Linked DNA regions of Struthio camelus. The protein of the gene in region 2 interacts with the protein of the main gene of each other region in a pairwise test. Links are inferred from orthologs where the notes say so. Each region holds a gene or a part of one and is shown on either strand. Other genes may lie near its edges. The genes, in order: FAM110A, RINT1, DCX and LMO2.

What was found.
Region 1: the proteins of RINT1 (region 2) and FAM110A interact in binary tests that used the Homo sapiens proteins (3 or more experiments, as listed by UniProt). The two-hybrid records come from large-scale screens. The link is inferred for Struthio camelus from reciprocal best matches to the Homo sapiens genes RINT1 and FAM110A.
Region 3: the proteins of RINT1 (region 2) and DCX interact in binary tests that used the Homo sapiens proteins (3 or more experiments, as listed by UniProt). The two-hybrid records come from large-scale screens. The link is inferred for Struthio camelus from reciprocal best matches to the Homo sapiens genes RINT1 and DCX.
Region 4: the proteins of RINT1 (region 2) and LMO2 interact in binary tests that used the Homo sapiens proteins (3 or more experiments, as listed by UniProt). The two-hybrid records come from large-scale screens. The link is inferred for Struthio camelus from reciprocal best matches to the Homo sapiens genes RINT1 and LMO2.

Annotation. Positions count from the first base shown.
Region 1 is NC_090959.1:18,340,605-18,346,337, forward strand, and holds FAM110A (protein FAM110A), read right to left. Parts: upstream 1,657-5,733; 5' UTR 1,606-1,656; coding exon 517-1,605; 3' UTR 509-516; downstream 1-508.
Region 2 is NC_090942.1:15,467,540-15,475,148, reverse strand, and holds the start of RINT1 (RAD50-interacting protein 1), read right to left. Parts: upstream 3,003-7,609; 5' UTR 2,853-3,002; intron 2,796-2,852; exon of another isoform or gene 2,579-2,795; intron 1,998-2,578; exon of another isoform or gene 1,957-1,997; 5' UTR 1,859-1,956; intron 1,467-1,858; 5' UTR 1,448-1,466; coding exon 1,271-1,447; intron 1,107-1,270; coding exon 865-1,106; intron 1-864. Other genes in the region: PUS7 (pseudouridylate synthase 7 homolog), read right to left, coding at 4,077-4,213, 4,971-5,062, 6,125-6,254. UniProt on the Homo sapiens protein: Involved in regulation of membrane traffic between the Golgi and the endoplasmic reticulum (ER); the function is proposed to depend on its association in the NRZ complex which is believed to play a role in SNARE assembly at the ER.
Region 3 is NC_090952.1:8,237,621-8,245,589, reverse strand, and holds the start of DCX (neuronal migration protein doublecortin), read right to left. Parts: upstream 3,006-7,969; 5' UTR 2,062-3,005; intron 1,604-2,061; 5' UTR 1,385-1,603; intron 1-1,384. Other genes in the region: UDP-N-acetylglucosamine transferase subunit ALG13, read left to right, coding at 3,247-3,327, 4,288-4,450, 4,711-4,849, 6,601-6,710. UniProt on the Homo sapiens protein: Microtubule-associated protein required for initial steps of neuronal dispersion and cortex lamination during cerebral cortex development. May act by competing with the putative neuronal protein kinase DCLK1 in binding to a target protein.
Region 4 is NC_090946.1:33,638,167-33,645,811, forward strand, and holds the start of LMO2 (rhombotin-2), read right to left. Parts: upstream 3,003-7,645; 5' UTR 2,761-3,002; coding exon 2,754-2,760; intron 2,652-2,753; coding exon 2,474-2,651; intron 1-2,473. UniProt on the Homo sapiens protein: Acts with TAL1/SCL to regulate red blood cell development. Also acts with LDB1 to maintain erythroid precursors in an immature state.

The DNA.
Region 1 (5,733 bases), on a different chromosome or scaffold from region 2:
AGGGCAGCGCGTTCCCGGCCCCGGGGCCGGCCCGTGCGCGGCCGCTCGCGGGAGAGGGACAGGGCAGCGCGTTCCCGGCCCCGGGGCCGGCCCGTGCGCGGCCGCACACCCCGCAGCGCAGCGCGAGCTCAGCAGCTGCAGACAGGCCATCTGCTCTCCGACCCGGCTCTTCGCTGCTGGCTTAGGGATTTTAGAGAGCCAGATCCACGGGGAAGCAAAGCTCTCCCCAGGCCGGGGAGGACACAGGGCCACCACGAAGTGCCTGAGCACCCGCCTGGCCACAGCCTGGCTGAAATCCCCCCTCTTGCTTGGGCCCAGCCTGTGGATCTGCAACTGCCAGTGTAGGACAGGGGCAGGGCAGGAGGGGCCAGGGGCCAAATTTGAGGGTCCCATAACAGTCAAGACATCCCAGGGGCACAGCCTGCACCACCCGAGGGCTCGGACATCGTTTCCTCCCCATCCCGCATCCGCGGCGCACACGCACACGCACGCTCGCTCAAAACCTCGGCCCCGGCACTATACGTTGGAGACCTTCTGGGGCTCCCTGGCTTGCCGCAGTCCGTAGAGCCACTTGATGACGCGGGCGTTGCGCTCGACGACGGAGATGCCGTAGGGCATGCGCTCGGCCGGCCGGTCCTCGAGGGTGGCGGCGCTGCGCTGCGAGCGGGCGCCCTCCGAGCTGGCCGTGCTCACGCTGTGAAACTTGACGGACACGATGTCGGAGGCGGCCCGGGCGAAGCGCTCCACGCCAATGTCCTGCACCTCCTCGGGGTCGAGGCCGCAGTAGTTGAAGAAGCGCTCCAGGTCGGCGGTGGCCCGGGAATAGCGGTCGCTCAGGTCCGACTTGGAGCGGTGCAGCAGGGTCTGGCGGCGGGCGCTGTCGGGGCGCCCGTCGCGGGGGCTGCGGCCGGGCGAGCTCAGCGAGCCGGCGGGGGGCACGCCGCTGCTGCGGGCGGGCGACGCCGGCGCCGGCACGGCGGGGGCCACCCTGGCCCGCAGAGCCCCGCAGGGCCGCACGTCCACCCGGCGCACGGCCACCGTGCCGGAGGGCTTGCAGCCGGCGGAGCCCTCGGACAGCTTGCTCGTGCTGTCGGCGGGGCCCGGGGGCCGCGGCGCCGCAGCCTGCCCGCCCGCCTCCCTGCCCGGCCCCTCCGGCCCCTCCGCTTTCCACTTGCGCTCCCGGCCCAGCGGGCTCTCCGCCTTGGGGAAGGGGCTGTCGCAGATGTTGATGAGGTTGTTGAGGATCTCCAGGTTGAGGGAGGTCTTTGGCCCGGCGGGCTCGGCGCGGCGGGGCCCCGGCGGCGCCCTGCGGCTGGGGGTGAGCATGGTCCGGCGCACGCCCGGCGCAAAGAGGGGCTGCTTGAGCAGCAGCGGCTTCACGGGCTCCTGCTTGGTGCTGGCGACCTGCTGGCTCTTCACGTACTTGGCCTTGTCGGCCTCCAGCCTCTCCACCGCGCTGGGCTTGCGGGCGCCGGTCTCCGCTTGCCGTCGGAAGTACTCGGGGCCCTTGTTGAGGATGCGGAAGGGCATGGCCGAGGTGAAGGGCGCCGCCGCCGTCGCCATCCCCTTCATCACGTCGCCGGCCTGCAGGGTCTCCACGGGCATGGTCCCGGCCGGCCGCGCCGTCCCACGCCGCCCGCTGCCCCCGGCCGCCGGGCCGCGGCACCCATCCAGGGTCGCGCCGCGGGGGCGCCCGGCGGCGGTGCCGAGGCGGGACGCGGGCCCGGGCGGCGGATCCCGCGGCGCGGGTCGGGCGGCGATGCTGCGGGCAGCGTCCGGCCCGGGGCCACGCGACGCCGGCTGCAAAGAGGGATCGGTGTGACGGGTGGCGGCGTGGGCCGGGGTCCCCGCGGCCGCCGGGCGCTGGCCGTCCCGAGCGCCGCCGCTCGCTCGCCCACCCGCCGGCACCAGACAAAGGCGCGAGCGGGCGCGCGAGCGGGCTGTGCGGAGCCGCTCGGTCTGCGCCGCGCAGCCCGCCGAGGCCAGCGCCCGGCTTCCTATTTCAAGGCAGGGACCACGCCTCCGCCAGCCACCGAGGCGTCCCCGAAACGTCCCCCCGGCCAATCCGCGCAGCAAGCCTGCTTCAAACGGCGCCTTGGCCAATGGGGCCGCCGGCAGCGCGCCCCAAACGCAGCTAGCCCAGCGACGGAGCGAGGAGAGGGAGGCGAGCGGTGGTGGCATCGCCTGCCCCGCAGCCCCCGGGGACGCCTGGCGCCCCCAGCCCGCCGGCCGAGGGGTGCCCGGCCCCGCCGCGGGCCGGCTCGGTCCCGCCGCCCCCTCCGAGGCTGGGGGGCAGGCTGCCTTATCGCTCTTCCTCCGGCCAACTGAGCCCCGTCTCCTCCGGGAAGCGGGGAGCAAGGATGCTGCTGGTTTGCAGGGGGGGAAACCAGAGCCCGGCCCCCCCGTGGTCCCCCGCCGACGCCGCACGGCTGCCCCACGAAACCCCGCTCCCGGAGGGCGCGTGGTGGGGCCGGCTCCGTCCCGGGGTTCAGGCACGTTGCCGGGCCCTTTCCCTCGGCCAGGCGGATCTGCAACCCTGCAGCCCGCCCGGAGCTGCAGCCACGGAGGCGGGGGGGCGAAGGCCGCGCGACGGGGGCTCCCGCACGCCAGGCTGGGCCGGCCCAGCGCAGGGTGCTGGGGACCCCGGCGCCCCCACACGAGTGGGGAAAGCCCCCAAGGAGCCAGGGGAGCTGGAGCAGCTCACGGGCTCCCTGCCCAGCGCGCGGGGTGCCTCGCTGCCCCCCACCCTCGGGCCCCTCTGGAAAGCCCCCGGGGGGGTTTCCTGCTATGTTTTCCCATCCGGCATGTGCCAGGAGCCGTGCGGAGCCCTGGATCCGCGCTGGAGACCCGGGAACCTCATGTCCTTGGGCCTCCGCCAAGCCCAACAGGCGCAGCGGCCTTCCCCAAGGGTGCGGAGGGGCAGCGGCCGCCGGCGGTTTTGGGGGGGGGGGGGGGGCCGCACCCGCTGCAGCCCTCCCGCCCCGCGGCCACCGGCGCCGCTGCGCTCGGGGCCGGGCTCGGCGACCGCGTCCTTCCCGGGGAGGGACAGCGGGGACCGCCACCGCGGCGGCGCTTTCCGAGCGCCCCAGCCCTGCCGGCCGCCTCCGGCCCTGCTCCGCGCTGGGCGCAACCTCCGCTCTGCCCCGCAAAGCCCCGGGGTCCCGGCTGCACCGGGGGGGGGGGGGGGGGCTGCACCGGGGGAGTGCACCGGGAGGAGGGGGGGGTGCACCGGGGGGGGGGGGGGGCCGCGCTGAGAGCCCGCCGATCCGGTCCGCAGCTGCCGCGGGAACCCCTCCCGCTCCCCCCACGGCGCTCGGGGGGCCGCGGCGGGGGCGGTGCTGCAGCCCGGCCGAGGGGCCGCGGGTGGGCGCCGGCAGCCCCGGCCTGCCCGGTTCGCCGTGCGAGCAGGCGGCTCGAGCAAGCGCAGGACTTACCGGGCGGGGGGCGGCCGCCGGGCGGGCCGGCGGTGCCGGTGCGCGGTGCGCGGAGCCCGGGCGCGCTGGCGGGGCGGCGGCGGCCGCGGAGCCCGGAGCGCGGAGCGCACCTGCGGCCGCGCTACCTGCTCGCACCACTTCCTGCTCGCCGCGCTACGGCGCCGTGCTCGGCGCGGCCCCCCCGCGCTGCCCGGCCCCGGGCTGCAAAGGCGGCGGGGGGTCCCGGCCGCCCCCCCCCCCCCCCCCCCGCGGCTGGCCGCCGCCGTCCCTCGCCTCGCCGCCCCGCGGCGACAGTGCCAGCTGACCCGGAAAGTGTCGGCGGGGAGCCGGCGGGGACAGCTGGGGACGGTCTCGGCCCCCCCCGGCCCCGCGCCCCGGCGGAGGCTCTCTGCACCCCTCTGGGGAGCCCCGCGCCCCGCAAACGGGGCTGCCGGCGGCGCCGAGCACCGACACGCTCGCTGAGCAAGACGGGGAGACGCGGGGCCCCGTCCCTGCTGCCGAAGGACCCCGGGGGAAAGCGGGGCCAGGCGGTGCTCGGGGCACGGCCGAGCCCCACGGCCCGGCTAGCGGGCCGAAAGACGAGGGGGCGGAGGGGAGACGCCCCGGGGGAAAGGCCAGCTGCAGCCTGCCCCGCGCCCCATCCCGGCTGCCCCGCGAGCAGGAACCGCCGTCAGCTTCCGCCCGAGGCCCCGCGTCCCCCAGCCCCGCTCGAGGCGGGACACGAGCGCCTGACTCAGCCCTGCGCCGGGAGCGCCCGCGCAGCGAAACCCCGCGTGCCCGGCGCTGCCTGGCTCCGTGCCAGCTCTGTGACAAACACGGCCCCGGCCCTGGGGGGCGGCTCAAGGTGCCCCCCGGGGCCCTGGGGCGGGGGACGAGGACGCAGGGCTGCAGAGCACAGCCGGCCGCGGCCCAACGGAGGGATTGCGGCACGGCGCGGGCTCTCCTTCCCTGCCGGCGAGGGCCGGCCAGCGGCGACGGGGCCCGGCCGGCCGCGCAACCCGCCGCTCCGCATTCCTGCCGCTGGAGAGCCGCCAGCCCTGGCACCGGCCGCCGAGCAGGCACCGCGGCGCCGAGCCGTGGCAGGCGGCTGTGCGCAAGCCGCCCTCCAAACCGCCCCGAAAACAAAGCGACGTTATCGCGTCCCCTGAGCGCTGAGGGCGCTCGGCGGCCCGGGTGCCAGGGCTGCCAGCCTGGCTCGTGCCCGGGCAATGCCAGGCCGTGGCCCCGGCTCGTCGCCCTCCCAGCCTGAGGCAGCCGAGCGGGGCTGGCTTTGCTGCATCTGATAACCTCCTCCGCCCGAGGCCGCTCCTCCGAAAAGGCAGGCTGGGAGAGGTGCCAACCCGCCCCCTCGCTGGGTGCCCCCGGCCCTGCGATGCCCGGCCAGCGAGCCCGGCAGCACCCAGCGGGGGACCGGCACGCGGGGCTGCAGCTGGGGCCACCTCCGCCTCCAGCACCTACCTGGCTCTGCCCCGGGACGCGGCAGCTCGCTGGTCACCGTGCGGGCCGCCGAGCGGCTTCTCCCCGCGCTCGGCCGGGGGGTTGTGCTCGTCCCCGGAGCCTCCTCCTCCGTGAGCAACGTCCTCACCTTCCTCCCCCTTGTTCGCGGGTGCTGGAGCGGATCTGCCGAAACCGCGCTGCTCTGAGTCAGCGCCGGGCGAGAACGCCCTGCGAGGCAGCGCGGCGCCGGCGAAGCACCCTCGCGCCCCGCTCGGCTCGCAGAGCCCAGGCGCAGCCCCGGGCCCGCTGGTCCGAGGCAGGTTTGGGGGATGTTTGGTCCCGGAGACCTCGGCAGAGGTCTTGCTGCCCTGGCACCTAATGCCTGGCCGGGCCTGCCCTGCGTGGGGACGGGGCAGCTCCCCTCCTGCTCGGCTCCCCGAGTTTGCCCGGCCCGAGGTGCACACGCTGCCACATCCGCCTCCGCTCTCCCGGCTCGGGGGTCCTTGTCATGCCGCCGAGGCGGGTTTTACGCCGGCAGTGAGGTTGCTGCGGGGAGAGCCGGCGGTTCCCAGGAAAGGGCTCGTGCGGTTGTGCCGGGGAGCCGGGGAGCTCCCTCCCGGCTCTGCTGCTCTCGACCGGCACGACCAGGCGGCAGGGCCTGCTCTTATTTGCAAAACTCACTTTGTTTTTCTGGGACACGTATTTGTCCAGCCCTTCTCAAAGGGAACCGCAGTGCTTGACTGTCCGACCTCCCTCCAGGTACACCCTGAACCTCCGCTTACGCATGCTTTAACAAGACGCAAAGGTGGCTGGCTTGGGACAACCAGATCGACTGCATTTCCCAGCCCTTCGGAGAAGTCTC
Region 2 (7,609 bases):
CACCTATATATTCAGAAACAAAGATAAAACTTGCTTAATCTGAAATATTTTAATAATGAGATAAACTAGGTTACCGCTCTGAGCACACATGCACAATACCCAGACGTGATTCATGGACCAAGCTCCGTATCTGAAGCTTCCTAGGAAAGGAGTCTGTCACAGAGAATTAAACTGTTGAGGAAAAGGAGTGGAAGATGAGGAAAGGAGGAAGGTCTCAAACTCTTTTAAGCACACCTTCTTGAAATAATCCTTTTAAAGAACTGTTTTTCCTCTCACTTCCAAGAACAACACTGAAAACAAATTTCATAAAGTGGAAGACCGGCCTAATACACCTCTACAGTTTTCTGCATAATATTTCACAACTAAAGTTTGTCTATATAAAATTTGATCCAACAATGCTTTCTAATTTCTGAAATTCTTTTTGTGCACTACAAAAAATTCTCCACTGAAAGAAGCTAGGAATGAATTAACATGACACTGTTCACTTACACTAAATGAAGATCTGTGCACTAAGACAAAGGATTAGAATTTTGAAGTCTGAAGTGTCATGTTTCTTCTCAAGATGTTTAGGTATCACTTCAATTATCTTATCGTAATTTATAGTAACTGAAAAAAAAAAACCATAAGTGTTTTTCATCTTTTCTCTCTCGTGTAAGAAGCTGTCAGCTATTACCTTCCTTCTTAAAAGTTGACAGAAATCAGAACAATAATCTCGAATTCTCACTAGTAAATGAATTAACAAATTGCATGTAAGATGACTTCCAGTTCCAGTGTGTTTATCAAATCTGATTATTTAACACTGAAGCCTTGAAAAAGATGTGTGATAATATCAGTAAGAAGTTTTTAAAGGTCTTTCAATTTTACCTTAACTCTTCTATTCGTGAGATCCATTTCAGGTAAGACAGGTGTCGTTCAATCTCTTCCACTTGACCAATGAGTACATCGAGATCCTCCATCCATGGCTGAGCTTTCAGTAAGTGGCTACTGATTGAACTCGATAGAAGTGTTTCTTCCTCCAAAAGCCGACTAAGAGACTTTTTAGAATCTTCTGCATTCTTTAAAGCATTCTGAATTCTTTTAGGGACCTCTGATGAAACTGTAAGTACCTATATTTAGGGAGAAGTATTAAGCGTAAAATGACATAAAACCATTGCACTATACAGAAAAGCATCATACGGGATATTAATAAATTGCCCCAATATAGTTAAATACACTTAATCGATCATTCAGCATATTTACCGTTTCCATGAAAATCTGAAAAGACACTCACCTGTTCTTCTAACCGCCTTTTATTTTCAGATAGCTTATCAATAAGGTTGTCTAGCTTCCTCAGAGAATCATAGTCACTGCCAACTTCTCTTTCCACAAATTCAGAAACGTAGTATGGGATATCACAGCGATCTGGATCTCTAGTGAGTCCTTTCTTTCTAACATTAATGGTTGCCATGTTTTCTTTATCTGCAATACTGATCATACGATTTCTAGTTAGTCATCACTAAGACAGTACTACCAATTGTTGATCTACTGAGGATACAAACTTCCATGAGAAGGACAGTTCAATTCAAATTGCAAAGTAAATACGATATTTAATAAAAAAAATGCTTTAAATGAGGCAATTTGCTTAGGTATGGCTTAGAAGACATACAAGGGAACCTTGCTAATATACATTCCATTGTCGATCACCTGTTAACTAGCCAAGTGAAATGCGTCTGCTACTTGAAAAAATACCTTCCCTAAAATTGAGTTTTATTAGCAATATTTCTGTATACGTGTTTCTAGCATGGAAAGCAAGGAAAAATATTGGACGAAACATTTATTTTTATTAAGAACGAAGAAAAAATCCAATGACCTACATTACCTTTTCAGGCAGTTTACGATGTTTCAGAAACGCCAAATGATGAGGTGACCCATGACTAGCAAAGTATCCAGTCAGGTCTTGTAGAATAAGCATGTGATCTGTAAAGTCAGTGCATCAGTGAAATATAAATGGAAAAAAAAAGATAGAGTATAACAGCAGAAGAGGCATGTGATGATCTGCACGTTCTGCAGCACCCAAAGAAAACAAGTCCTGAAACTGAGAGGATGTTTATGTACAGTGAAACAACAACAACAACAACAACACACCACAATGACTGTTTGGCTGTATTACAATTCAATTTTTTTCATTCTGAATTTCAAAACAGTGTTTAAAAGCATAGGCCATACACCTGCACTTTATCCATTTTAATTAAACAAAAAAAGCATATTAAATGGACAACAGGAAAGAGTGAAAGGATGGTGCAAGTGATGAGTCCAAGCTGGGAGAGCAGGACAGCGCACCAGCAAGAAGAAACTGGGAGACTGAGCAGCTGGGAAGGAGCGTGTACAGAAAACAGAGGCCCTCAGGAAGAGAGGGGGAGAGAGAGAGAGGGCGCTGCATGGAAGAGGTGGGAGTAGTAAGAACCCCCAGGCTGCCTGCAGAAATGAAAACAAGTACCACTCGAGAAGTCCACTGGTCTCTACAGGGGCAGAGAGGGTTTCGACACCGGGCACCGGCCTCCCACCACCCCCCCGCTCGAACACGCAACTCCGCCTGCACCTCGCCTCTCCCTTCACCGCTTCAGAACAACTCTACGGCCCAGCAGGGCTCTGCTAAAAGGGCAGGCCTCCTCCCGGCCCGTTCCGGGGGGCTGCCGGCCCTCACGCCTAGCAGCAGCAGCAGCAGCAGCAGCAGCTCGGGAGGCCGTTAACGCCTCGCCGCCCTCCAACGCGCGAGCCACCGGGACAGCCGGGCCGGGCCGGGCCCCCTGCGGCACCTCTCCGCGGCGGGGGGCGGGGACCGCCGCCGCCGCCGCCGCGGGCCGCTCACTCACCTGCCGCTCGCTCCCTCGCGCGCGCGCGCGCGCGCAGCCCCGCCCCCCGCCGCTGCCGCGTCAGCAGCCGAGAAGCCCGCGGGCGGCGGCCGCCACGGAGGGTCACGTGCGCGCAGCCCCGCGCGTGCGCCCTTGCCCGCCCCTGGTGGCGGGGGGCCAACGCCGCGGGCGGCCCCGCCCCCTGCCCCGCCCTCGTCCCTCAGGGGCGGCCCGCGGCCCTCCGCTGCCTCAGGGCGGCCGCGGGCGAGACTAGCTTTGTTCCTGCAGGCAAACTACAGGCCTGCCGCTTCAAGAACGCGCGCCCCCCCCCCCCCCCAAAAAAAATCTTTTAGAGACGGTTTATCATCAGGCCGGTTTCAAGGATTTAATTGGCGTTTGAACAACGAAGAAGTACAACAGGAGAGACGCCTTGTGTTTCCATGAGTTTATTAACACAAGCAACGCGGGTTTGCGTATTTGGTATAGAAACGGATTGCGAAGGCAAAGACTGTCCTTTCCGAATGGCTTTGTAAGCTTTTCTTCTCCCCTACCAGGAGTCCGGCTCATCCACTGCCGGCAACGGACACACCAAGACGCCTGGAGGAAACAGTTACTGACGTTCACCTAGACTTTTTGGTTAATTTATTTTCCTTAGCTGTTCTTTAGTACAGGTATTAGTAAAGCAGGAAAATATGCACAAATATTTTCTTAATAAAAGACTACAGCCAAGTGAAACAGCTGTACACCATCATCACCCCACAGAAAAGGCCTCGCTAACAGAATCCTCTACCAGATCAGCGCAAATGCTACCGGCATCCTACGGCTACAGAGACTTCTTCTTTGATGACGAATATTCGTCAATATCTTAGTTTTATTGTAATTGGTTTTCCTAATCCGAAATTTAGTATGTTTGAAGAGTTTGAATTGTGCTAAACTCATGAAAACATTCAACCGTCGCTGTACTTCCAGACAAGCGAAGCGCAGCTTCCTCCAGCTCCGAAACCATTACAAGCCCTCTTTTTAAAGACGCAGTCATGTTACAGCTCAAGCAATTTATTCATTCATTAAAAGCATCAGTCACTAAGAGCTACATTATATTACAACCACCATCTTGCAAATGATTTAATGTTAATTTCTTGCACCAATAAAAACTTTAAAAAATACCGATCTTTAAAGATTTGTCCCGAACACGTACGTAGTAAAACTTTTTATACGTGATAAAATCTAACTCCTTTTACAGTTCATTCAGCGTAACCAGGTAGTATTCAGCTGTGTCTGGTTTTTTATGCTTGTGTCCATTTTTAGCACTTCTCGAATTGCCATAGTCGCGTAAGTGGATGGGGGAAGGGAGAACGCCATCTTCAGTGCCCTGAATTTACCATCTGTCGTATCAGGGGTAGGAGGAAAAACAGACAAGAATAGACTGTTAAGACCACACAAAATGCTTATACTGGATATCATCAAAAGCGGACATCAAAACTTAAAAGAAAAAAAGTGAGTTTACACTCCATTTACAATCCACAGTGTAGCATAAAGTGAAGTTTCATAAAATAACTTCCATTTAACATCTTCTCTCAGCAGGAAGTGACTATGTTAGAGGAATATTTATCAAAAATTATATAGTTGATCAATTTGTCAGAGTAGGGCATTTTTGTTTTCTTTTTAAAAAGAAAAAACTCCTCTTCTTTCAAAACTGAATTCCTAGTCTCTCTATTTTCTGGAAAGCAGAGTCAAAAGACCTTGTGACCTAAGTCATTTTTAAAAATTTCCATTGACTTTAAGTATTTGAATAGTCTCTTATACTTAGCACAAATAATATGTGCTCAAGCACATAGCCCATTTGTGGCTTAATTCCACCTTTTCTTTATGCATTTCACAGACATTTATGGTGAGACGTTTACCACGTTTTGCAGAGATGTGTAAGAAAATGCAACAGACTGCTGGAAGAGTTTGCTTGTACTTCTTTGAGAAATAAGGGTCCTTACTCAGGCACCTAACTTTGAGTACCTCCTTTTCTATATCATTACCTAATAGTATTGTTAAAGGAAAGCTGTTCTCCAAAAGATCTTTCAGTATGTTGCAGTTTAAAACAACAATCAAACATCTATTTTGCAAACAGCCGCAGAAATGTTAACTTACCTGTAGGAAGAACTGGTAGTGGTTTTCCTTGCAGCTTATCCAAATCCGTATTAAATAGTGGGATTCTAGGATCATCATACGCAACAACCTCCCTTTATAATATACATAAGGTTTTTATTATTTTTCTTTATTTAAATTTGGCAGCTACAAAAATATCACTGAGATGGAATGATTCTCCAGTACAGATTAGGGAAGGTGTTATTTATTTATGGTGCAATAACTGATAAAGCCTTATATAGAAAGCTGGTCTGTTTAGTGAAGATATTCACAAAATAATGAACTAGTGAGAAATTTCTTTACGTGACTCAGCTTTTTACCCCCCTGGGATATCAGGATTTCCAGCTATACAAGAAGTGTAGTTTATGAAATTATAGAAAGAATGGCATCAACTCTAAGAAGGATTCTTCAACAACAACAACAACAAAAAAATATATATATATATTTTTAAAAAGCCATCTAAATGTCTTTGTAATGGTTTAAACACATATTCTACTCTTTCTTCCATTCATATAATCATTCAATATGTAATTACTAGGCTGAATAGTAAATGGGAATGCAGATAAGCTCTAAAAACCAGCAGTAACTAAAATAAAATTCAAATATTTGAATTTTTTGTCTCCTTCCAAAAATCCTCCATATCCTTTTCTATGCAACACAGTAATCAGGTCATTCTGCAGATTTGTACAATAGCCTGTTTAAAAGACATTTATTCAGTTGCCATAGGACAACTTGGTCATATCCTTCATAATAGTGATTTAGTACATTTAAATAATACAAACGATCCACACACAGGCAATCGGAAACCAACTTTTCTCATAGAAAGATTGCCAAAACACCTGTTTTGTATTATCTATTGCGGTTCCAGCATGAATAATTAATTATCTATGATGTGTTTAGGCAAGCCCTTACTGCACGGGATAGTAACAACTAGACAGACGTCCTGACGCTAACACATCACACAGAACCAGAGGATCAGTGATGAAATGCGGCTCGAGTTCAACCGTGTAAAAACGTGAGGAAAATGAACAAAGATTCCTTCTTACTTATGTTTTGGTCTACATGTACACACTGTGATCTAATGGTACTTTCTTAGTCATCCTATATATACCCTACACTGTCAATTCAAGTGTTTTTTCCTTTATCTTCCTACTCACCAGTTGACATTCTGAGGTCGAATGATGATCTTTCTGTATGCTCCTGAAAGTGAATAATCTCTAATCTTATGCCTCATGTTGTTGATATCAAGATTGTCGGCTACCAGCATTTCCTTGTAGGCCTCACCAACTGCAAGAAATGAAAACATTAAGCAGAGAGTGTGCAGTACGGCCAGTTTCAACGGAGGCCATGTTTTAATGTAACATTCCTTCCCTTGTTTTCCAGTGATCTTCAGCATATGTGGGATAAACGTCAGACGGAAGTTGAAAATTATTTATCGCAAATCATATTACTTCCAACGTTTTCTTATTCAACCTGATTAGTAGAGTCAAGTAACCTAGAATCTCTTGCTTGACAATCAGAATTTAAGCTGAAAACAAAACTTATATAAAATATTTTATTGACACGTCACTTATTGACACAAGACAATCTCAGGTATATGGGGGGAGAGGAAAAATAGAAAAAAATAGGGGAAAAAACAAGAGAAGCTAGAATACCCATTCTTATCTTTGAAAAAGCAGCAAAGACTGAAATGAGTTTAAAAAAGCCCTCTGAAAAAGTAAGCTGATAAGGAATACTAAGCATTTCTAACTGAAATGGCCAGAAGAATGAGTCATTTTATTAGGGTTGTATTCTTAAGTAAGAGTGTGTATCCTTAAGTAAGAGTGTGTATATGTACACGTGATGGGGAGGAGGTTGGCAATGGAAATACAGGGATATACTGCAACTAAAGTGCAGTTTGATGCATTTATTTTGCAGTGCAATTTCCAGCATTACTTCCGTCTGACTGGGAAGTTTCAAGAGGAATAACTTAAGTTTACTAAGGGCAAATCACATTTATAAATATACTGAACGCTAAAAATTTCAGCTTTTCTTTTCAATCTATGAAATAAACGTGGTTCAGTGCCACACCTCATCTCAGATTCTCAAACCGATTGCTTCTTCCAGGAGACTGGTCGGCCTAACACGGAACTCATGACTATGCTCAAATATAACAAGGATACATACATAAGGTGAAAGGTAGGACAGGCTACAAAGAAAGAAACACTGTCCAGGCACGTAGGGATGGTGTTAGGAATGCCAAAGCTCAACTAGAGTTGCAACTGGCAACAGACACCAAGAGCAATTAAGAGCTTAATTGCAACATCAGCAGTAAAAGAATACAAGGATAACGAGGGGCTGCTCCTAAATGTGGGTGATCTAGTGCCAGCAGACAGAGATAAGGCTGAGGTACACAATGTCTCCTTTGCTTCAGGCTAACTAACAAGATCTCCTGAGCTTCTGTGCCTGGACACAAGGTTCAAGGAGGAGAGAAACTACCAGTAGTGGAAGAGGATGGAGTCAGGCATCTTTGGAGAAATCTTGACCCATACAGCTCTGTAGGACCAGAGGAGACGCATGGACTGAGAGCTGGCTCGTGTCATTGTAATGCCATTCTCTGTCCTTGAAATGTCATGGAAATCAGGGGAGGTTCCTGTTGACTA
Region 3 (7,969 bases), on a different chromosome or scaffold from region 2:
TATTTTACTCTGCTGAAGTTTGAGAGAACAAATAACGACAGTACAATTGGCTGCTGATGCATGGAGCATTTTCTTTAGAGTGCCTTACTTCAAGCTATGAGTGGATGGCTGAAAGCAAGGTCACAGCTGAGGTACAAACACTGTAAACCTGAGCTAACTGCAAAATGAATGCGTGAACTTAACTCACCGTAATGGTGAGTTTATTTTGCAATTTGGGCAGAAAAATAGCATGCACATGGTGAGTTATTGCACCCCAGCTACAAAGGAGCAGTAATTTGCTAAACCACAGTACCTAGCTTAATATAAATTAATGACAAAGACAGGAACACATTCCAACATATTAAGTTCTATCCTAATTTTTTTTTATTTAAAACATTTCTTCAATAGCTGTCCTTATCTCTTCTCAGAAAGGTTTATTGATGTGTTAACCCTCCTCTGTCACACCTGATAAACCTAGCATCCGTCTTTTCATTCCAAAATCTTCCTATATCCATCAGCTGTCAGGGCCCTGAGAGCACTTACTGGCTTTAATTGCCCTGACCAGCCTCACCTGGGGCCTCCACTCACTCCCAAGCTGGGCCCTCGTTCCCTGCTGAGCTGCATCAGAGGTGCATTTTCTCCTAACCCTGGTCCTGAGTTGCTGCTTGGATTTCCTGGATGGACCTTAGACCTGGCCTGTTGCATTGCCTTTGGCAGGACCTGTTTGCTGTCACCACCCTGCCCTCCTCACCTGCCTCTGGCGCTGTGGAATTGCACCTGTTGATGATGTTGTTTCCTGGACTGTGTTTTGGCCATGCTCTGCTCCCAGCTCACCTGCCCTTAGGGAGCAGCAAGGGTAGGACAAGGCTAGTGAGGGCTGCTGAGGCCTATTGGATTCTTAGGGCCCTGACATCGGTTTTACTCCACAACATATCTCCCAAAATCAGATACTACCTCTCTTCCTTCCCCCCCCCCCCCCCCCCCAATCCTGCTGTCAGCATTACTTGCTTTTATCAACAATAAATGAGTTTCAGTGTGGCTCATTATGTCAAATGAAAACAATAGGGGGCTAATGAGCACTGTGAATGAGCCATTAACATGGCAATTAGAAGTATCCTTAAGAGTGCTAAATCTCTTCTGCCTCTTTCTTTGTACAATCAGCAATAAATGTAGATGCAACCTCATCTATTAAATCTAATTCAAAGAATAAGTATGTTTAGATGTCTAATTTGAGTAGTTTCTGTCAAAAAATATGTTGCTTTACACTTAACGCTTCTGGTTCAGCTTGTGCAACTGGTAAAGGATTATTATGTCCTTCAGTGGCCAAGATCATGTGTTATCAGATGTGATGTCTCACTTTGAAACTACAACACTGCAGGGTTTTCATCACAAAGGGGAAACGTACCTGAGATGAGAAATTTGCTGGTGACTTCGTCTTTGCTATTGATTTAAGGTGGCTTAACACTGCACGCTGCTTTGTTCAGAAGAAACCTTCACCTCCCACCTCAGCTCCTCTCTGATTCCCTGTTCCTTAGCTCTTGGGATGGTGTCATGTTGGGAGTTGATAAGCTCTTGCCCATGGCAGCATGTTTCCTCAGTCCTTGTAACAGGTGGGAAGATCAGCCTGAAACAGCATCAGAAAAATGTGTACTTAAAGGGCAGTAGGGAGGAGTGGGAACCTTATTGTATTCAGTGATGCTGAGCACGTATCTTTCAAAAGGCAAGGGTAGGAGAGGAACACAAGTATTTAAATGACTTTCAGAATTTGCTTTTTAAAGTGAGTATTTTAAAATGACTCATATCCACAGGTGATCTGCTGACCAGCTGTGGCAGCAGTGCAGCTGGGCTCCTGGAAGGGAAGGGTATGCCCCAGTGAGGCCCATCACCAGTGGGCCACCATTACAGGTGCCATGTGGCATTGCTTCGGGCATCAGAGGTATGAAACATCCATCCTGCCTCCAAAACATGACTGACTACTCATACACTACCACCCCTTTGTGATGCTTTGGTGAGTCATGAGACTAGTGTTAAAATAAACAATATATTTGAATAAGGCCCCAGCAGTTGGTATCAAGAGATTACCTGAGAATTTCAGGGTTTTTTTTCCTAGTCCTCAGAATTACAGTGGAAATTAACAGGCCCAGACAGCATAAAGCCAAGAGAAAGCACTCTGCAAGTATTTCTTAAGGACTCCTGATACCCTGATTTTCTATGGCTTGGCTTGTGACTTTCACATGTGGCAAGGCTGTAAGGAGAAAAGCGGAATGGAAAGGAATAGGTTGAGGTGACCAGTTCAGCAAAAGCATATTGTAAAAAATAAGGCAGTTTAAGTGTCGGCAGATGATGGTGACAGGAACTCTGGTCTTTTTGCTTCTGTCCTCCCTCAGTTTCCTCGCCTTATTTTCTTGTCTCGGTCCTAGACCGCCTGCCCTAGGTACCTTTTGCTTCCTTCGCTTACAGCACGTCTCAAACGGTCCCGCGGGGACCCTGCCACTGTGCCAGCCTTCCTGGGGTTGGGCAGCTCTTGCCCCACCACCCCGAGGGGTCCCAGCTCTCCGGGCGCCAGGCAGGCTGCCGCCGGGTCCCGGCTGCCGTCGGGACTGACACCAGCACGCAGCAGGGCTTGCGTTACCCTGCTTCAACCTCAGAAACGTCTTCCTAGTGCGCAACTGCAACGGTTAAAAATAAACGAGTCAGATTTTCCTTCAGGCGAGCGAGCGGCAGCAGATTTGCCCAGGGAGCAGGGCAAGCGGGCGCGGGCCATACCCGGTACGGTTTGCGGGCCCCAGAAGCTCTACAGCCGCGTTAACCCGAGCCTCCTGGGCTAATCAGTTCTCGTGAGAAAAGACATTTAAGAAAAAGGCCATCTTGGTGTTTTCTTGCTTTAAGAAAAAAAAAAATTTGCGTTCTCGATCTTCTTTTTTTGATAAAGAACCGGCCTTAAAGAGCTGCGGCGATTTCTCCCGCGGAGGGGGCTGCTTCCTCCTCACCGCAGAGGAAACTCAGGGAAGGAAACCGAAGGAGACAAAGTAGCTAGCGAGAGGGGACAGTAGCAAGCTCCCAGTGCAGCCCGCCGCCATCGCGGGGGGGGGGGGGGGGGGGGGGAGGACGGCGCCGCCCAGGCCCCTCAGCGCGGCGGCCATTTTGTCCGCTCCGCGGCAGCGGCGGGGCGGGACCGGGCGCCCCCTGGCGGCCCCCCTCCCCCGCCGCCGCTCCCCCTGCCTCGCCGGCCGCACGGTTAGGCGCGGCGGGGCCCTGCCGCCGGCCATGAAGTCCGTGTTCGTCACCGTGGGCACCACCAGCTTCGAGGAGCTGATCGCCGCCGCCTCCTCGCCAGCCGCCGTGCGGGTGAGGCAGCGCCGAGCCCTCTGGCCTGGGCCTCCGCCCGCCGCGCCGGGCCGGGTCGGGCCGGGCCGCCGGGCGCACGCGCACTGCGGGCCCGCTCCCCCGCCCGCCCTGGGGCCGGCGACCCCGGCGGGGGGCGGGGAGGAGAGAGGCGGGATTTGGGGGGCTGTGAGGGGAGAGACGGGATTTGGGGGGGCTGTGAGGAGAGAGATGGGATTTGGGGGGCTGTGAGGCGGGATTTGGGGGGGCTGTGAGGAGAGAGATGGGATTTGGGGAGGCTGTGAGGAGAGAGGTGGGATTTGAGGGGGCTGTGAGGTGGGATTTGGGGGGGCTGTGACGCCAGGCAGGATTTGGGGGCTGTGAGGCGGGATTTGGGGCTGTGAGGCAAAGCAGGATTTGGGGGGCTGTGAGGCAAAGCAGGATTTGGGGGCTATGAGGCAAGGTGGGATTTGAGGGGGCTGTTAGGCAAAGCGGGGTTTGGGGGGGGCTATGAGGCAAGGCAAGATTTGGGGGCTGTGAAATGCAGGATTTGGGGGGCTGTGAGATGAGGCAGGATTTGGGAGGGGCTGTGAGGCAAAGCAGGATTTGGGGGCTGTGAGGTGGGATCTAGGGGGATTATGAGGCAAGGTAGGATTTAGGTCTGTGAGGCAAGGCAAGATTGGGGGGCTATGAGGCAGGATTTAGGGGGACTTGGGACTATGAGGCAAGGCGGGATTTAGGGGGGCTGTAAGGCAAGGCAGGATTTGGAGGGGCTGTGAGGCAGGGGGACTTGGGGGGGCTATAAAGCATGAGGCAGGGGGTGGCGTGTGCCCCCTGGCCATGGCAGTGGCCCTGTGCCATGGGGTACCCAGGAGCAGAGCTGGGGTCAGCCCAACCAGGTGCCCACCAGGGGCAGCCCCACCACAGGTGCTCCGCTCTGCGGCTCGCTGCTGAGCACTGTTGCCGCTCTCCCTCCTGCCGCAGGTGCTGCAGAGTCACGGGTACCGCAAGCTGGTCCTCCAAATCGGCCACGGGGTGCAGGAGCCGGCCCCGGTGAGCACCCCGGCCTTCACGCTAGAGGCCTTCCGCTTCAAGGACTCGCTGGCTGAGGACCTGCGGAGAGCAGACCTGGTCATAAGCCATGCAGGTAGAGCGCACTGGCAGCTGAGTGCCGTGCAGAGAGTTTGCCAAGCCTGTTCTCGTGTGGGTAGATGTGAAAGTCGGTAGCGTGGGCAGCTTCCGTTTCTGTAATTCTCTGACTCTGTTAGCATTAAAAGTTCAGGTCCACAGCTAGAGTTAAATGGATTAAATGCTCAGGTTCAGGAGTCTCTCATGTTGCAAGAGCCAGTAGGATGAAGTTTGATCTATAGGTGAAAGCACTGATCATGTTTTTTGTTTCTTCTGTAGGTGCAGGTAGCTGTTTGGAGACGCTAGAAGAAGGAAAACCACTAATAGTAGTAATAAACGAAAAGCTGATGAACAACCATCAGCTTGAATTGGCAAAGCAACTCCACAGAGATGGACATGTCCTCTATTGTAATTGCAGGTATGAAGCAGCTGTGGTGATCCTGACTGAACAAGAGGTATTCAGTACCGTAGCTTGGTCATTACAGTATTGAGAACGTAATAAGTAAATTCACATCCTTCTCTGTAACAAAATCACATTGACCAAATACCACAATTAACTTCCCCACCTAAGTAGTAAGGGCAGGACAGACATTTCAGGAAAGCTAGTTTTTTGTTTGTTTGCAAGGCATGTTTTTCCATAGTAGATAGATCAACAGTTGGTGCTGTCTCCACCAAATCTACCAAGCCTTTTGTCTGAGATTAATTTTAATGTAACTTTTATTTTGAGGTCACATGTTTCCAGTTTAAAAAAAATAAAAAAAGCAGTCTAAACCATGGTTGAATTTGAGTGACAGGTAACTGTCAGGTGGCATCCTAGGGGTACCTAACAACTCCTCTCTTACTCTGCCCTCCCTTTCTCACCTCTTAATTCTTTCTCAAAGCTAGAAATAATACTGCCTAGTTCCCAACCATGAACTATAAGAAATATATTGCTCCCTGCAGACTTAGTAAAATGAAAAAAACGGAGTTCTATGTGGGTTTTCTTTGTGAGGGGCACTAGAGATGACTGTATGGATACCTTCATTTTTTATTATATCTATGCGTCTCGAGTATTTAGAACAAAACATGAAAACGGCCTTACTGATTCAACTCAGGAGGCTATATAGCTCAGTAACGTGTGTGCAGTGGCCATACACAGATACCTAGCAAAAAGTAAGAACAGGAAATGGGACTCTCTTCTATGACTTTCCTTCTAATACCCTAATGCTTCAGGGTTTTCCTAAATTAGATGTTGGTTGGTTGGTTGGTTAGTAACTTTCATTACATCTGTCTTCCAAGTACTTACTCAGGCTACTCTCTTAACCAAACTTCCGGCATCCACAACATCCTTTGACAGAGTTTGACAGATCTACTGCATGCCACTTAGACAAAAAAAGGCCTTTTTGTTTGTTGATCCTGGGCCCTGTTAGTTTCATTTGATGCTCCTTTATTTCAACTGTATCTTCCCATTTCTCTTCATGAATGTGATTTATGGCACTCCATAAATAATAGATGACCTTTAAATTGAAGGTAGGGGAAATGCACCTCACATTATTTAGTCTGCATCTTGTTCCTTTGCCCTGCAAATAGGATTCTGTTTCAGAAGAGCCTTCCAAAAAGACCAGACCTTTCATTAATTTACATTAGGCCAGTTTCTTAAACTTATTTTCTCAGTGCTTCTGACCACTTCAGAGGTAGGAAGGGATTTTTATTTCTTTGTTGAACAGTATTTTAGCTTTTCAGCCTTATTTGCAGTCTGAAAATTGCAAGCTAATGGATTGATTTAGCTGTCTTTTCTGGCTATGTGTTAAGTGGTTACTTATGTGTTGAAATAGGATGAATTTCCTAATACAGTTTATGGCAGCGATCCTCAAACCTTATTCAGTCTCCCAACGTTGCTTGCAGCCACCGAAGATAAAAAATTAGAGCTGAGGCTGCTTATGAAAGTTGTGATGTGGCTTGAAGTGCGTTTTCCTCAGCATTGCTGCCTATGAGCCAGTGATGGTTGGGCCCACTGGTTTGTGGGGTCTCTTCTTCCTTTCAATATATGTCCTTATTTTCATTTCTGGGCTAAAGGATTATGCATGCATATGAATAGAGAGACAACTGTGTGAAGAAAAAATTCCCCCTTGGGGTGAATTTCTCCCCAAGTAGTAACATATTATACTTGGTTTTGGTTTGTTTCTACAGCACTCTTGTGGAGACACTGCAGTCAATGGACTTGTCAACTTTGAAACCTTTTCCTCCTGGACAGCCAGAAAAGTTTGCTTTGTTCTTGGATAAAGCTGTTGGGTTTGAATAAACAATCCAGAAGAATAAAAATGTCAGAATAAAACTTTTTTTTCCTCTGGTGAGACCTTCCATAATGAAAAATCCACTAACTGTGACAAATCCTGTTCATAACAACTCAAAGGAAATGTCTGTTAATACCAACTGACGTTTAACTGGAATTAAATGGAAACAATTTAAATCATCTGGCTTTATGCTTAAAAGGCCACAGTGTCAAGGGGGCAGGGTTTGAACTCCAAGTTGGTTTTTCATTTCAGCCTTACTGTAATGGGTTATGAGTGACATGACCTATGTCAAATGAGGTAGGAGAGTAAGCAAATGTGGACTTCCGGTTTGATTTGTTCATTTGCTAATGAAATGCATCCATTCCAGAGGAGTTGCTGATTAGGCCAGCAAGAGATGTTGCAGCAGCAATGCGGATAGAAATTTCTGACCTAACAAGATGTCATCAATGACATATGTGAAGTAATGTTCCATTCAGCTGGAGCCCTGTGAAGGTAAATGCTGCTCACTCACATGCTGAACACTGGACAGCATACCTAGCATCTAGCCCTATTTATAATTGTGAGGGGTCGATCTTTATGTAGGCTAAATCTAGATCAAATCCTGGCTATACAGAAGGGAATCATCCTTTGCAACAAAATTGCAAAAGGAAGAATCATCATTTTTTTGGTTCAGGTTTCAAAGGTTATGCACAATATGAAAACTCCATTGCAGAAGGTGGGTTTTTTTTTTTTTTTTGTAAAATCTTCACGTGAGTGACTGGTAGCACTGCAGCTGTAGTAAGAATGTTTTTTCCTTACTTCAGTAATGGCTGTAATCCTGGACAAGAGTCAGCACATGCACCTAAAAAGACAGTGCCACCCATAAGAATTCATAAGTTGTCGGGCTGTGATCTTTTCCCAGCCTCATTGGGTGACTGTGACTGCACAAAAAATATGTGAGAGCAAACAATGCAAAAGTTTATTTCACGGGATCACAGGGCTGCAAATAGACAATTTTTCAAAATCATGATATTTTTAATGAATGCATAATATCTGCAACAGAATCTGTATTTCTAAGATGCTTCCTATGATCTTGGTTTTGTTCACAAGTATTTTCTTCTACCCAAATGCATCCAAAAAGGCAGATGATAATGTATTTCTCTAAATAAACTCACTGAAAGGGCATAAAAATAATAAAATACAATTTATCCTTGGTTTTATGTATCTCGTTTAATGATATTTTAGAAAATATAAATGTCAATAGCTCTTACAGTACTGTTAGCTAT
Region 4 (7,645 bases), on a different chromosome or scaffold from region 2:
TTCTTCAAATCAACTTTCTTAAGGAGCTCTCTTCCTTGCCTCTTCGTGTAATGTTATAGCTTCTGCCAAAAAAGATCAGCAAAAATTAAAGGAAAGCATCTGAGCTCAGTTCTGCAAGGTTTGCAATGACCTGACACTGCCACTGAGGGCCTCATCCAAACCCCAGGGAAGTTAATAAAAAGACTATTGGATCAATCCTTTAAGCACTTGCTTAATTTTAAACCTGTGGCTAGTGACAAGGAAGTCACTTGTTTGTACATTTATGCTTGTCTGCTTTGCTGGATCTTGACCAAGGAGCTCAATGACTGGCAGATGTAGCCCCAAATTGTTTAAGACATTGTTCAGTTCTTGCTGTCGCACACTGTCTGTCAATGCTTTGTTTCTGTCGCTGTTCTGTCCTCCTTCAGGCTGGTGAGGGCAGAGTGCAACTACACCAACAGAAAAGAATCAGGCTACACCGAGTTTCCAGCAGGCCATAGGAAAAATTATTTTACTACTGCTTCAAGTGGGTTTATGTAGACTGTTGTCAAAGCTTATTTACTGGGTCAGCAGTTTTCTAGGCAAAAATTACTTTCTTCAGCATGCAGAAATGACCAGCAGTTGAAAACTTCCATGCTGAGAAACTGATCCTGCAGTTTCTATTTAGACAAGCTGAGCTCTAAGATATTATCTGATTATATCCCATTCTGTTTTTCACTCTCCAAAGTTTAAACTGCTGTGCCCTAAAAGTTTTCTTATAATATCCCACCCTTCTAGCTCTCTGTACCGTGCGTTTGCATTAAAATTGTAGGCTGTCTGCTCTTAGAATCATGGTAAGTGATCAGGCCCCACTTTTTCAAAGTTTATTCCACATGCTTCCCTTCCTAATGTGTGGGCTACCCACGGACAAGCTCTGAGAGCCTTCCAATAGAACATGCAACTGTAAAGGAATAGACATTATTATCCTTTATTTGAAGCTTCAGATGTACCCCAAAATCTTTAATCTTATAGATGGTTCAGGAATCACTAGCCAGTCTCTGAATGCCCTAAAGTCCGGAACAGCCTGACGGATGTTTACGCGGAACAGAATTTCTGTTTTAAGCATTAGCATTTTGATGTTCATACATTGTAAAGCCAGTACTTAGTCAATAGAACACAAAGTAGGTAAATAAATAAATACGGCTAAAACTTTTGTAGTTCAAACCTGGATGCCATATACCTGGGAAGTTAGGATGATCATTTCTTAAAAACAATATGAAATAAAAAATGTAACAAATGCAAAACATCAAATGTGACATGGCATGAACTGATTTAATCCACATAAGAAACACTTCATGTGTTCACTTGTGGCTTCAAGGGAAGGGCCCAAGTGAAACAAATCGGAAATGACTAAAGTTCACTAAGAGTAATGTTTTAAGCCTTATCTGAAAATGGGGATTTTACAATGTTTTTCTTCTCTCTTATCATGATGCTAGACATCTGTAACTGCAGTTATTCAAATGTACAGCGCTGAAGTGACGTGGTGGTACTCTGAGTGAACGTGCCTCTTGCAAGTATGGTGACTGCATGTGCTTGGATTCGGAAGGGATGGGACGGCTGCTGAACACAGATTGAAAAAGAGGGTCATAATGTGGGAGTCAGTCCCTGCCATGAATGTGAAAAATAGGGAGGAAAATTCTCATCTTCTGCATCCTTCCCGTCAATCAAGTCTTTGTACATGGCCAGTGCCTTTGCAGAACACCCTGCCCCCACCAAAGCAGTTCGTACAAGCTCTTGAAAGTTGCAAAGTGCCTCGCATCATGAAAATGTGGAAGTTGGGCACCCATCAGATAACAGCTCCGACCTTTCGCTGTAATCAGCTACAGCGAGTTGGACAGATCAAACATGGGGCAGAGAGCGAGGCTCAAAATGAAGACAAGTTAAGCTCTGGAAAGCATTATGCCCTCCGTCTCCCCCAGTCGTTCCCCGCAGCCCTGCATCCCGAGACCGGGCGGAAAATGCCCTGCCCCGTGCGGGATTGCGCCCGGAGGTTGCTCCCAGCGGGTATTTCCCAGAACTTGGGGGCTCCGATCAACTCAACGTGGGGCCGGGGCCGCCGGCCGCACCCGCAGCCCGCGGAGGCGCCGGCGGCTCGGGCAGCCCGGCCGCCGCCGCCCGCCCCGGGCCCGGGCTGGAGCTGCCACCGGGGGCTGCGGCGCCGGCTGCCGCCCGGGGCTGTTAGGCGGGGCTGCCGCCCGCGGCTGGCGGCCGGCGCGGCGCGGCTTCCCTCCCGCGGGGCGCCTGCAAGCCGGGGCAAAGAGCGGCGGGCTGCTGTGCTTCCGAGCCCCCTTGCCCGCCGCCGGGAAGGGACGCCCCAAGCAGCTCGCCGGGGCTGACACACACAATGACGGTGGTGAGGGAGCTCGTAAAGTCCCTGCCGAGCGCGCCTCAGCGCTGGGGAGGATCAAAAGGCACGGGAAGGGCTGGGGAGGCTGAAAGAAAAGAAGCCACTTACTCGGAAGGATCGAGGCTTTTCCTCTCGATGGCCGATGACATTGGCAGGGATGGCTCCTTTGTAGTGTGCCTGTGGTGGGATCTGCCCCCGCTGCCCCCGCAAAGGCTGTCTGCTCTTGAAGCCTTTTCACCAGCTGAGTTCCCCCTCCGCCCCCCAATGACATTCACAGGATTTCCTCCTGCAACACCAAAGAGAGAAAGAAATATGGGCTGGGGCTGCTGCCGCCGCGGCCGCCGTGCTGCGGGCTGCGTCTCCGCCAGGCTGACCCTTAGGATCTAACCTCCCATGCTTGCCCCGCTCCTGCGGCGCGCTGGGCGGCGGGCAGCTCCCGCCGCTGCGGCTGGCCCCGCCGGCGGCCGCCGCCTGCCGCGGCCGCCGCTGCTGCCTACCCCGCGGCTCCCTCCGCTGCGCTGCGCTGCGCTGCGCTCCGCTCAGGCTCGCTGCCTGGGCAGCTCTGAACGTGCTCGGGAGAGGGGCGCATCGGCTGCGAACGTGGAGACCAGCATCATTATTATTACTCTAGCTCAGCCCCGAGTCTCTGGTTTCATTTCCTTTTTCCTGATCACGATTCAAATACAATAGAAGGAAATCGCACTTAAAGAGACAGCTGCCCATTTCTTAACTGGACTCCGGGGGATTTAGCAATACAAACAGCAGCATCACGACTCAGTCGGTTTCTTAAAGAGACAGAGCTCGTCTCCCCAGAGCTAGGGCTGGGAGCTGACTTTGCATTTTCACAGTACGCTCTAATTTAGGAATACTTTATCAGTAAACCGGGGGTGCCCGGATAGTCGTGTAACCTGAAAATGATCCGAAGGGCTTAAAAAATTCAAATGTCTGGCTCCATCTTTATTGGCCTCTTAGCTCCACACATTACCAAAGCACTAGCGTCGTGGTCTCTCTTCTCTTCCTCTCCTTCTCTTACCTATGCACATACCCACACGCACTCATGCTTTTGTACAGTATTTGAGATCTATGCATAAAGACACTAGGTAAGAAGCTAAGTATTATTTTCTACCTAGGATTCAAATGGGCCAGCTAAACTGTACCTGTCTCATTTCTTACTCTATAGTGAACATTTATGGGTGTCTACTCCTAGGTGTCCCCACCTAGTTCTTGGTAAGTCATATAACAAATTTATATCTTGATGCTGTTTGATGGTAATGAGCTGTAAAAGCTCGAGAGTACAAAGTATTGATCTGTAATTAATCACAGAGAAGCTAAAGATGGGAAAGTCTTGCTTGAACATCTCTATTTCCCCTCCTAGCCTTCCTCCCCCCTCCTCTCCGTCAGCACAGCACATCCCGGAAAGGACTGATTTACAGTGCTAGAGTGAACACTATTACAGCAATTATAGCTTTTTTCCATTCTCTGTGGCATTAGATACTGGCCATAGCTGGCGGCAAAATACTGGATGAGATGAATTGCCTGCCCTGTTAATTCTTTTAGATACAGTAAGAAAGATCTGTAATAAAGCACTAGTGAATAGCAGTAGAAATACTTACCTTCTATATTAATTCCCAGATCGGAAATATATTTGATGTCTGTTTTTATGACTAGATTCTCATTTTTTCAGCTTTTTTTGGCAGCTAGGGATATAATATCTGAAATACATTAATGAGCCTGATTCAAAGACTAGTGATGTCAGCAGAACTGTTACTCATTTCAGGGGGCTTTTAACCAAGCTCTCACAATTCTTCAGAGCCATCACTGGTCATTAGAACACTTATTCTTCAAAAAAGAATTTGTATCCTTTAAGAAAGATTTCTTATTCTTTAAAAAAAAGATAAATAAAACAGAAAAGATAAAGAAGGTCAATAAAAAGATATATAAAAAAGATAAAGGAGATTCTTATATTTTAAAAAAGTTATCGCCACTGTATTTTAAGCTATTACAGTATGGCAGTCACACTTATAACCAAATGTTTTTGTTAAAGGAAAAAGCTTCTTTGTTAGAAATATTTAACCACGGGGAACTTTATTAAGAAGGTTTAAAGAGATCAGAAATTGAATTTAATGGGGGACCAAAAACTTGTATAAAGACTTCAAACACTTAAAAAAGAAAGACAGTTCTGTGAGCTTGGTGTCTCCTGGCTGTGTCTTAAGGTCTAATAAGGTATAAACTCCGAGTCACATTGGCAGGCTAATTGCAGTCTCTCCCTTCTACTTATTTTCCTCAAATTTGCAGGAAATTAATATCTTTAAGACTTCTGTCACTCTGTCTATCTAAAAGAGACCAACTGGTTCAAAAGTTTTGGTGAGGGATAGACACGTAGACATTGACACATAAGGAATTACTTTCTTCCTTAGAAAAACAACCTAAAACCAAGGAGGTAAAAGATAAAGTGGCCAGTGATTACTGGAATATGTAATTTTTCAATCTTTTGCAACACCTATATTCCTCGATTTGATCAGGCTCACTGAGGTCTGGCAGATAACCTCACTGAAGCTAATGAGATATTTCATATACTCAAAGTTGAGTGCATGTTTACGTGCTTTGCTGGACAGGGCAAGAATGCTTCATGCCTTGCAAGATCAATCCCTTAACTGAAGGAAGCTTTTCTACCTAAAACAATGGAATAGTGTGTAAATAAAGGAGCTGAAGAGCACTATTTGCTCATATTTTGTCATCCTTTCAGTCAGGTGCAGAGCTTGGCTGAGGCTTTCAGATCCAGAACAAACTTCCTAAGGAAAGTCAGTTCTTCAGGTGGATACTACTTTTGATAGTGCTGATATCTCTGCATGCTTCCGAGAGATACCACTTCTCTGCTTGTCTGAAAAGATGTGTAGTGATGACCCCAAGATTATTCGTTGTTTTCTTTCTTTCCTATAAAGGAGAGATGCTAGGCAAAGTAGTGTGAGAAGAACTAGGAAAAGTGAAAAAGTAGTCAATTTGCTGGTACATAACATAATAAATGTGTTGCTCCACTGTGCTTATTGGGAGAGTGCTTGAACTCAATCTGCTTAAACAAACAGTAATCAGGAAATACTGCATGAGCTGTAAAGTTGTCATGGTACCTTGAACAAACTGCACAGCAAAGACGCAAGGTAACACTTGGCTCCATGCATCAGGTGGAATTTCAAACTAAACCAAAAGCTTGCTTTGCAAGCATCAGTGTGGCAGAAGATAAACAGAAACTGCCAGGAAGCAGTGTCCTCTACTGATGGGTATGTACCAAACTGTTGTTGGTTTTTCGCCTGAATGGAATTTCTGTAAGCACCTTTTCTTCAAACTTTCTGTGGTGGTATTTATTGGCAGCTCCAAGTGCACTAACAGTAGAAAGCCCACCAAGAAGGTTCTCTGCATTCTAACCTAGGAACTGTTTTTTCCAACATCTTTTGGGGAAGGAAAATGTATTATTTTCTGGGACAATTCAAATTTTCTTTTATTAGGTTTATATATAATAGACCCTCGCTCTGGGCAGTGAAACTTGGCATCTTCACCAGAGGAGTCTTGTGTTCCACCAGAACAGGTGACCAGTAATCAAGAGTGGCTTCTTTTTTTCAACTTGGGAGAGTCCCTTAGTACCTCTGTGCCTCAATTTTCCCATCTGTAAATGTTTACTTCCCTCAACAGAATCTGTGGTTGATTTACTTTTGCCTCCCGCAGAATTAGGCTCATAAAGACAAAACATTATTCAGTTTTAGTATTTGTGGTGCCTACATTTCCTGCATAGGGACAAAAAGACTAGTACTATTTTTAGTGGGGGATTTTCTTTCCATTGTCCCTTTCTCTGCGAGGCTGTGTTTTCCAGTTCTATTTAGTGCAGCTTTTTATATTCATTGACAGACTGAGGGATGAATGTTGATTTCAATTAACTTTTATGAATGTAGATCATACTATAGGCAAATTCTTGGAGCATTACTAATATCAAATCCAGTGTTATTGTTTGCATTTAGCTTTCAGTGCTTGCAATAAAATGTTGTGAATAATTTGACTAGACTTTTCTGTATATTTCTCAGTAAGACTATTTTATGTAAACCTGCATTGTTTCTAGGAGTGATGTCATTGAAACAAATAACTAAATGTGCCTCTTTCCAAAGAAACATCCCCTCTTGAAACTGCTGAATGTTTTCACCTTTGTTTTGGAACTCTGCTCATTTGAGGTCCCAGGATTCCCTCTTGTGCTCAGTCTCCGGTTGTTCCTGCCCTTATTTCATCTTTAGTATATCCTAGCTTTATTTCCCCTAGAGCTGATGGATGTCGGTATTGAACTATTGAACTATTTCAGCTCACTCGCATTTGGAGAAGTCTGAGAATAGTAAGATTAACTTTGCTGCCCTCAATAGTCAGTAATGTTTGTTGCCTAAAATGCAGCTGATGAAGATTTAAGTCTCTGCACAGACACAAGAATTAAATCTCAATGACTGTGGTCTAGATTTTCTGTTAGTACTTGCTATGGGGTAGAAAAGTCAAGACCATGGCTAGAGTCTAATGATTAATATGAGAGGTGGGGACGAAAGAGAGATAATGACCTCTGTAATCTTGGCTCTGTTTTGCCACTTTGATCTACCATATGATGTTCAAAAAGTCACTGCTCCATTTGATTCCTCAGTTTACCTATTTGCAAAATGGAAGAATTCTTCCTCCTTCTCACCACAAGCTGAGCTGAAGCTTTGGCATAATGAGGTCTTTGGTTGACGTTCCAAAGAAATGTAAAGTTGTTTTTTCTTTGGGTTTTTTGAACACCATTTTGATACTCTAAAACAAGTTGGGAGGCTCTGAAGCAATTATGTTTGTTCATGTCTGGTCCCTATTAAAGAATACAGAATACTTGAGGAGAAATATCAGTCAGCTACTGCTGAGGACATTTGACTGGAGAATCAATGCTGGATCAATAGCAAATCATATTGCTGCCATGTTGCAGCAGCAGTGCATTGCAGAAGTGAAAGGCAACACATAATACAATAAAAATACATTTTTTGCTTTTTCATGGGCATGGAAAACTCTTTTTTAGGCAAGAAGTTATGTTACATGTGTTCTCTCCACGAGCGCTGCTTTTTCATATGCAAGACTACATCTTTTTCCTAGTTGTACTAGGAGCTCCCTGCTAGCATTCTTTTTAACTTTCCTGGGGATAGAAGTGGTGATAGCAAGGACAGGGAGTTTTCCTGGAGTGAAGACCATAGGCACTAACCTTAATGTCTCTGGAGGCTCTCAGTAAGGCATGAT